Anolis sagrei: one gene and its partner. The protein of the gene in region 1 purifies or fractionates together with the protein of each later gene. This does not show direct contact. Links are inferred from orthologs where the notes say so. Each region holds a gene or a part of one and is shown on either strand. Other genes may lie near its edges.

Region 1 (3,751 bases):
AGGAAGGGAAGATGTAGAGAAAGAGGGAAGGAAAGAGGGAAGAAAAGAGACAGCAGAAGAGAAAGAAAAAGGGGGAAGGAAGGAAAGAGATAGAGAAGGAAGGAAGAAGAGAAGGAAAGACGGGAAGGAAGGAAGGAAGGAAGGAGTGAAGGAAGGAGGGAAAGAAGGAGAGAAAGAGGGAAGGTTGGCCACAGCAACGCGTGGCGGGTACAGCTAGTATAGAATAGATTCATAGAGTTAGAAGAGGCCACAAGGGCCACCCAGTCCAACCCCCTGCTACGCAGGAATACACCATCCAAGCATTCCTGACAGATGACCATCCAGCCTCTGCTTTTAAAAGGCCTTCTAAGAAGGAGAGTCCATCATACTCCAAGACAGCATATTCCACTGCCAAACAGTTCTTACCATCAGGAATGTATAAGGTGTATATGAAACATACATTAATTTTGTGTATAACTTGGATCTCATCTCCAAGACTTCTCATTTGGGACATGTACACTTCTGATCTCCTGCATTTCAGATAAAGGATACCTAGAATCTTGAGGGATGCTTATCTTTACCAATGCTAACTAGATGGGTGATTAGAAAGCAAAAAGGTTACTGAGATTTGGGCAGAAGTGAAGGGATCTGTGTGAATTGCAGGCATGGGCAAACTTGGGCCCTCCAGGTGTTTTGGACTCCAAGACCCACCATTCCTAACAGCCAGGAGCTCCTGCCTTAAGTGGCTGAGGGGAGAAAGGAAAGGGCCCGAGGCTGTTAGGAATTGTGGGAGTTGAAGCCCAAAACACCTGGAGGGCCCAAGTTTGCCCATGGTGTATTGGAAGGAAGCTTGCTCCTTTGCCAAACATGGGTCCCTTTTCTCTCAAAATATTGGGTGGAGATACCTTGTGTGACTGTCTTTTGCACAGATACGCCAGCACTTCTCCATAAGGACAGAGAAGGTATACTGGGAAGAAACAAGAGAAGCGAGATGGAGAAAAAGTCCTGGAGATGGGTGCCAAGAGATGGAGATGCAAGCAGGGGCTGTGCGCTCCCGGCATGCTGGCCCTTTAAGAGACCAGCCCTCCCAGCTCTGACAGTTCCCAGGGCGATGGCTCTGTTAAAAAGCTCTGAGCCGCTGCATCTTCAATTCATTGTGTGCCCACATCCGCTACAGAGGCTGCAGGTGAGAGCTCAGGGTTGGGGGCTAAAGGGAGAGGGGCTTTGGGTTGGGGAGAGGGCAGTGCCAACGCATAGCTGTGGGGATGCTGACTGGCAAAGCGGTGAGAGTGTGGGTCATTTTTGTCCTTTTAATGTGCAAAGCTTTGCATGGTGATGTTCTGCAGAATCCAGAAATGTGGATCGTGCAACTTATATGATCATTTGAGACCCTGGGAAACTACCCCCCCCCCCCCCCAAATCCTGTGGTTCATTCCATTTTTGGAGATTGCATGGTCCTGCTGAATTGAGAATTAGGGATTCATTTCTTCTCAGGTCAGTGGCTAGAAGCCCTTTGGATGCATGTCTATGAATTGCCTTGCTAATATGGAAGAGTGTCGAATTTGGGACTGATGCAACTACTCATCAAATCATAAAGTGAAGAAAGTGGTTGTGGGCAATTTTTACCCCAGGATTTTATTTCTCCTCATACGATTTGCAAGGATCAAATAGAACACTATCCATGCAATTCGGAGCTCCTGGCATGAGGGTTTAGTGGATACATTTTCCCATCCTGTTCCAGTGTTTGGCTTGACTCTGTTGGAGAGCCATCTTAACTATTTTGATAGGTTGAGGCTTACTTACAAGGATGAAAACCCTGTTGAACCTTATGGAGACTATATCAGAATTAGATAGCACAGGATGGGGCATCATGTAGTTCATTGCAGACTTGGAGGCATCTTTGGGATGGGTTGGCTGGTAAGCTCATATGACACTCTCTTCATTCTTTTTCCTCAATGGCTGTAAGATAATGTCTTAGCCTGGATAGCAATGGAGCTCAAGAATGTGGTGTAGCTGAGAAAGCTGGTGGCATGTTCGTAGCTTAAAAAAAAGCTAAAGCCAGAGTTTTCCCATAGAAAAGTTCTGTTGAGGTACAGAGACAGAACTGTGGTTGAGATAGTGAGTTGGGACTAAGGGCTGGCCCATCTCTGTGATCAAATCCCCCCAACAGCAACTCTGTGACCCTCTGCACATTAACTCTTTTGCAGGAACCATGAGCCGTAAAGTCGTGAGGTCCAGCAAGTTCCGCCATGTTTACGGACAGCCAGCCAAGGCTGACCAGTGCTACGACGACATCCGTGTCTCTCAGATGACCTGGGATGGGAATTTCTGCTCTGTCAACCCCAAATTCCTGGCCATTGTCGTGGAGGCCAGTGGCGGAGGAGCCTTCTTAGTCTTGCCGTTAGCTAAGGTACCTGAGAACCCCTTAAAAAACGATACCCCTAGTGCTTTTCCAACCACCCAGTAATTAATTAATTCTTCATTTCCTCAATGTTATTTTGCCTATTCAACTCCAAATTATAATTACATGTATTAGCCCTGCCCAACCTCCCCCCCCCCCCCCCCAAACTGTGTTTCCGGGGAACGGAAGATGATGATAGGGAGGAGGAACCAAAGACTTGTGAAACTGCCGAAACGACAGATCTTTTTTGGCAGGTTCTTTTTTGCCTTAAATGGCCCGAAGTGTGAACCTGCTGCGGAAATAGGGCCTTGAGAAAGAGGAAGTGGGTTAGTGGGTTTGGTGCAGGCAGAGCGGGAAGGAAACGAGGAGAGGGGTTGGTAACACAAGTTCTTGCTTTGCTTTGTGTGTTGGCTCCAGTTCCATGTTCACCTAAGTTTATTTGACCCCACAATTGAGATGCCAAAGAACCCATGGCCTTTGACTCTCAGATACATAATTTATGCTCTCACCCATCCATGAAAAAAAATCCCAGAAATTATTAATCTGTGAATTCCATATTCCTCCACGTTTCATATCCTGTTCAGAGGTTGGGGAAATAGCTTGTTAGGCCGTAATGCGTGGATTCTCCCAATCAGGTCTAGGAGATTCTGGGTCCTGCAGCCCAAGAGGTTCATTTTGAATTCTTATACAGGTCTTTTATTGAAATGCTCTGGGTTGTGTTCCCATTGTACAGCAGAACCCAGTCCTTGCTTCCCCTACTTTTTGTGATTCATTCCTAGGCTCAGTTTTCCTCCCACTTTCGCTGAGTTGTTTCTGGGTCTTTTGTCTATTTGAGGCCTTGACAGGTCCACGGTTTGGTCCACAGTACAATTGTACTTTTCAAAGATTTGAAAAAGAACCTGGTTACATAGGGCATGATGTACTGTGGGTCCATTATTTCTTTCTATGGCTACTAAGTTTAGAGATTTGAATTAAAGCTGGGCCTGTTTCACCCAATTTCCTCCACAAAGATCTTGTGCTTGCCCCTAGGATATGTCTCATGATTCCAGCGTGATGTGGGAACGAGGGACACATTCATGCTCTTCAGAGAAAGCCTAACACAGAGCAGAGCTGCGGCAGCGGGGGGAGTCAGAGGGAAAAACCACATGAGTTTTGTTTCTAGCACTCTTGCTGGGAAAACAGCCCCAAGTGCCTTTCCCCAGCCAGGCAAATGGCCCTTGTTTTTGACCTTTTGTCCTTATTTTCTTACTGGGCCTTTGCCCAGGTTGCGGTTCTGGCTCCTTCACTGGGTGGATGGCAGAACGACATATGTAGAGACAAGAAATGAACATCTTTGATCACCAGAAAAGTGGCTTGGATGGGAGATGATTT
Region 2 (3,751 bases), on another chromosome or scaffold:
CTTAACCATTTTGCAGAATGTTAGATGGGAGGGAGCTGATCTTATATCCCTGGGAAGGGTGTTCCATAGCCGAGGGGCCACCACCAAGAAGGCCCTGTCTCGTCCCCACCAAACGCATCTGTGAGGAAGGCAGGATCGAGAGCAGGGCCTCCCCAGACGATCTTAAAGCCCTATGGTTTATAAGGAGAGATACATTCGGATAGGTAAGCAGGCAAAAAACCCAGAAAAACTTCCTTGTACTTCAGATATTAAAGTAAAGGTAAAGGTTTCCCCTTGACATTAAGCCTAGTCGTGTCAGACTCTGCGGGGTGGTGCTCATCTCCATTTCTAAGCCGAAGAGCCGGCTTTGTCCATAGACGCCTCCAAGGTCATGCAGCCAGCATGACTGCATGGAGCACCGTTACCTTCCCACAGATCTCACATTTGCATGTTTTCGAACTGTTAGGTTGGCAGAAGCAGGGGCTATCAGTGGGAGCTCACCCCGCTCCCCGTTAACCTTTTGGTCAGCAAGTTTAGCAGCTCAGCAGTTTAACCCACTGCGCAGATACTATGCAACCATTAAAAAAGAAAAGAAAAAGAAGCAAAAAAAAATCAGACGCAAACACCAAAAACCTGCTTTACCATCAATATTTTTTTCCTTACCCCCTTCATGGATTATGTTTAAAATGAAAATACCAAGAAGTGTAATCGTGAAGGTCTTAAGGGAATACACAGAAACCAGCTATTTTCAATGATTCCAACCACGAGAGCCTTCAACAACACAAACCAGCAAATGCCAACACAAATATACAAAAAAGAAAGAAAAAAAAACATTCAGAGTCAGTCCCACCGAGGCTCCTTCCACACAGCCATATAACTCAGAATATCAAGGTAGATAATCCCCAATATCTGGTTTGAACTGGGTTATCTGAGTCCACACTCACATAAGGTGGGATTTTCTGCCTTGATATTCTAGGATATAGGGCTGTGTGGAAGGGCCCAGAGGCTCCTTCCACAGACATATAACCCAGAATATCAAGGCAGATAATCCACAATATCTACTTTGAACTGGGTTATCTGAGTCCACACTGCCATACAACCCAGTTCAGAGCAAGTAATATAGGATTTTGTATAGCTGTGTGAAAGGGGCCTAGAGGCTCCTTCTGCACTGCCATATAATCCAGATTATCAAAGCAGAAAATCCATAACGTTTGTTTTGAACTGGATTTTATGAGTGTACACTTCTATATAATCCAGCTCAAAGAAGATAATCTAGATTGTATATGGCAGTGTTGAAGGGGCCTCAGTGGCTGAGGGGGGAAAGGAAGGGGCCTGAGGCTGTGAGGAATGGTGGGAGTTGAAGTCCAAAACCCCTGGAGGGCCCAAGTTTGCTCATATCTGCTTTCTTGTATTTGGAAATTTCTCAATCATGATGAGAAAAGGCGTCCTGGGCATACTTTCCAAGAACAGGAAGTCGCCCCCACTTCCCTCCCTCCCTCGCTTCCTGCCGGATTCCCTCTCTTCTTCCCGCGCTTTTCTTTTCTTGTCGGAGGGCAACATTTCTGGCCTTCCCCGCCGCCTCCCCTTTAAGCGCAGGACGCCGTTACTAAGGCGGAGGGCAGGGCGCGCAAACTGAATCCGTCCGGCGGCAACAATCGCGGCGAGGCTTCGTTCCGCTGGGACTCTTTCGGCAACATGGCGTTTTCTTGCTTGGTAAGGGCAGAAGGGGGGAAACGGGGGAAGGAGAAGCTGGCCCCACTGGCAACAGGGCTTGGAAATGGCAAGGCAGGGGAGTGGAGTGGGAGAAGAGCCGGGGGGAGGCCTGACTAAGTCCCTCCCCTTTGCTGCCTGGGAGTTGTAACTTCTCAGGCCCCTTCCACACATGATCTGCTTTGAGCTGGAATATATAGCAGTGTGGACTCAGATAACCCAGTTCAAAGCAGATATTGTGGGATTTTCTGCCTTGATATTCTGGATTATATGGCTGTGTGGAAGGGCCCTCACAGAGGAGGAAGAGAGGTGCAAGGGAGAACCAGAGAGTCATTTGGAAAGGAAGAGTTTATTAGTTTGGGAAACATACCTTTCACATGTATTTATATCCCGCATTCTCTATCTCAAAAGAGACTCGGTGCCCTTCCACACAGCCATAAAACCCAGAATATAAAGGCAGAAAATCCCACATTAAGTGTGGACACAGATAACCCAGTTCAACTATGTGCTATGCTAATAATATAATATTTATAATTTTTTTTGTCGTGTCAGGAGCGACTTGAGAGACTGCAAGTCGCTTCTGGTGTGAGAGAATTGGCCATCTGCAAGGGCCAATTCTCTCACACCAGGGTTGGCTTGACACGCCTTCCTATTGGCACCCTCCATAGGTGCCTCTTCAAATTCCACGGCATTGCTGGTCACAACTGACCTCCAGTTAGAATGCTCAGGGGCCAGGGCTTCTCAGTTCTCGGTGTCTATGCCACAGTTTTTAAGGTTAGCTTTAAGCCCATCTTTAAATCTCTTTTCCTATCCACCAACATTTATTTATTTATATATATACACCGCTTTTCTCAGCCCTCAGGCAACTCAAAGTGGTGAACTACATCAATACAAAACATCACGAGACAAGTATAGGGCAATTAAAAACAATTGTAACATAAATCATTAAACATCCGTATAACAATCATTAGCGCCTCAACAGTAAAATCGGAATCCAGTCTCGTTATCCATTATTCCGTATTCCTATGTTCAATTATACTGTTTAATCAAATGCTTGTTCGAACAGCTCCTCCGAAACCCCAGCAGGAAGGGGGCCAATCTGATATCTGCAGTCAGGGCATTCCACAGCCGAGGGGCCACCACTGAGAAGGCCCTGTCTCTTGTCCCTGCCAAGCGCACCTGTGATGCAGGCGGGACAGAGTGCAGGGCCTCTCCAGATGATCTTAGTGTCCTAGCCGGTTCATAGGAGGAGATGCGTTCGGAGAGGTAAGTAGGGCCAGAACCGTTTAGGGCTTTCTGTTTTCTGTTCTTGAATTGGGAGTATAGAAGCTGCTTCAGGCATTCGGACAATGTAGCTAGTCCAGCTGAGTTGATGGAAAAAGGACCATCTCTTCAATGCTGGTGGTCTTTGTTTCTTCCAGCACACTGGCATTTGTCCACCTGCCTTCCCAAGAGATTTGCATGATTTTTCAGAGGCAATGCTGATGGACTTGTTCCAGGAGTTGAGTGTGACTTCTGTAGACAGTCCACATTTTGCAGGCATATAACAGGGTTGGGAGGACAATAACTTTATAAATAAACACCTTGGTCTCCCTACGGATGTTCCGATCCTCTAACACTCTCTGCTTCATTAGGAAAAATGCTGCACTCACAGAGCTCAGGCGGTGTTGTATTTCAGTGTCAATGCTGACGTTTGTGCAGAGGTGGCTGTCAAGGTAGCAGAAATGGTCAAAGTAGATATTGTGCGATTTTATTCAGCTGTGCGGAAGAGGCCTAATCAAAGCATCCAAAACGCAGTCCTCTCCTTTCTCTTTAGTATTAAGTTCAGCTAACTTTTTCTCATAGTTTTCTTAGCTGACCAACGTAATGTGCAGGCCTCTTTGAAGGCCAGAATAGAAATAAATACTCAGGCCTCTGCCACACAGCTGTATAAAATCCACACTGAACTGGCAGTGTACACTCAGATAACCCAGGGCCCTTTCACACAGCCATATAGCCCAGAACATCAAGGCAGAAAATCCAAAAATACCTGCTTTGAACTGGGTGATCTGAATCCACACTG

What was found.
Region 2: the proteins of CORO1A (region 1) and POC1A purify together in Homo sapiens (affinity purification with mass spectrometry; 3 studies listed by BioGRID and IntAct, counting the BioPlex papers as one, with this or other methods). This does not show direct contact. The link is inferred for Anolis sagrei from reciprocal best matches to the Homo sapiens genes CORO1A and POC1A.

The regions. Positions count from the first base shown.
Region 1 is NC_090026.1:17,575,852-17,579,602, forward strand, and holds the start of CORO1A (coronin-1A), read left to right. Parts: upstream 1-1,038; 5' UTR 1,039-1,165; intron 1,166-2,186; 5' UTR 2,187-2,191; coding exon 2,192-2,389; intron 2,390-3,751. UniProt on the Homo sapiens protein: May be a crucial component of the cytoskeleton of highly motile cells, functioning both in the invagination of large pieces of plasma membrane, as well as in forming protrusions of the plasma membrane involved in cell locomotion.
Region 2 is NC_090022.1:69,061,184-69,064,934, reverse strand, and holds the start of POC1A (POC1 centriolar protein homolog A), read left to right. Parts: upstream 1-1,515; 5' UTR 1,516-1,674; coding exon 1,675-1,692; intron 1,693-3,751.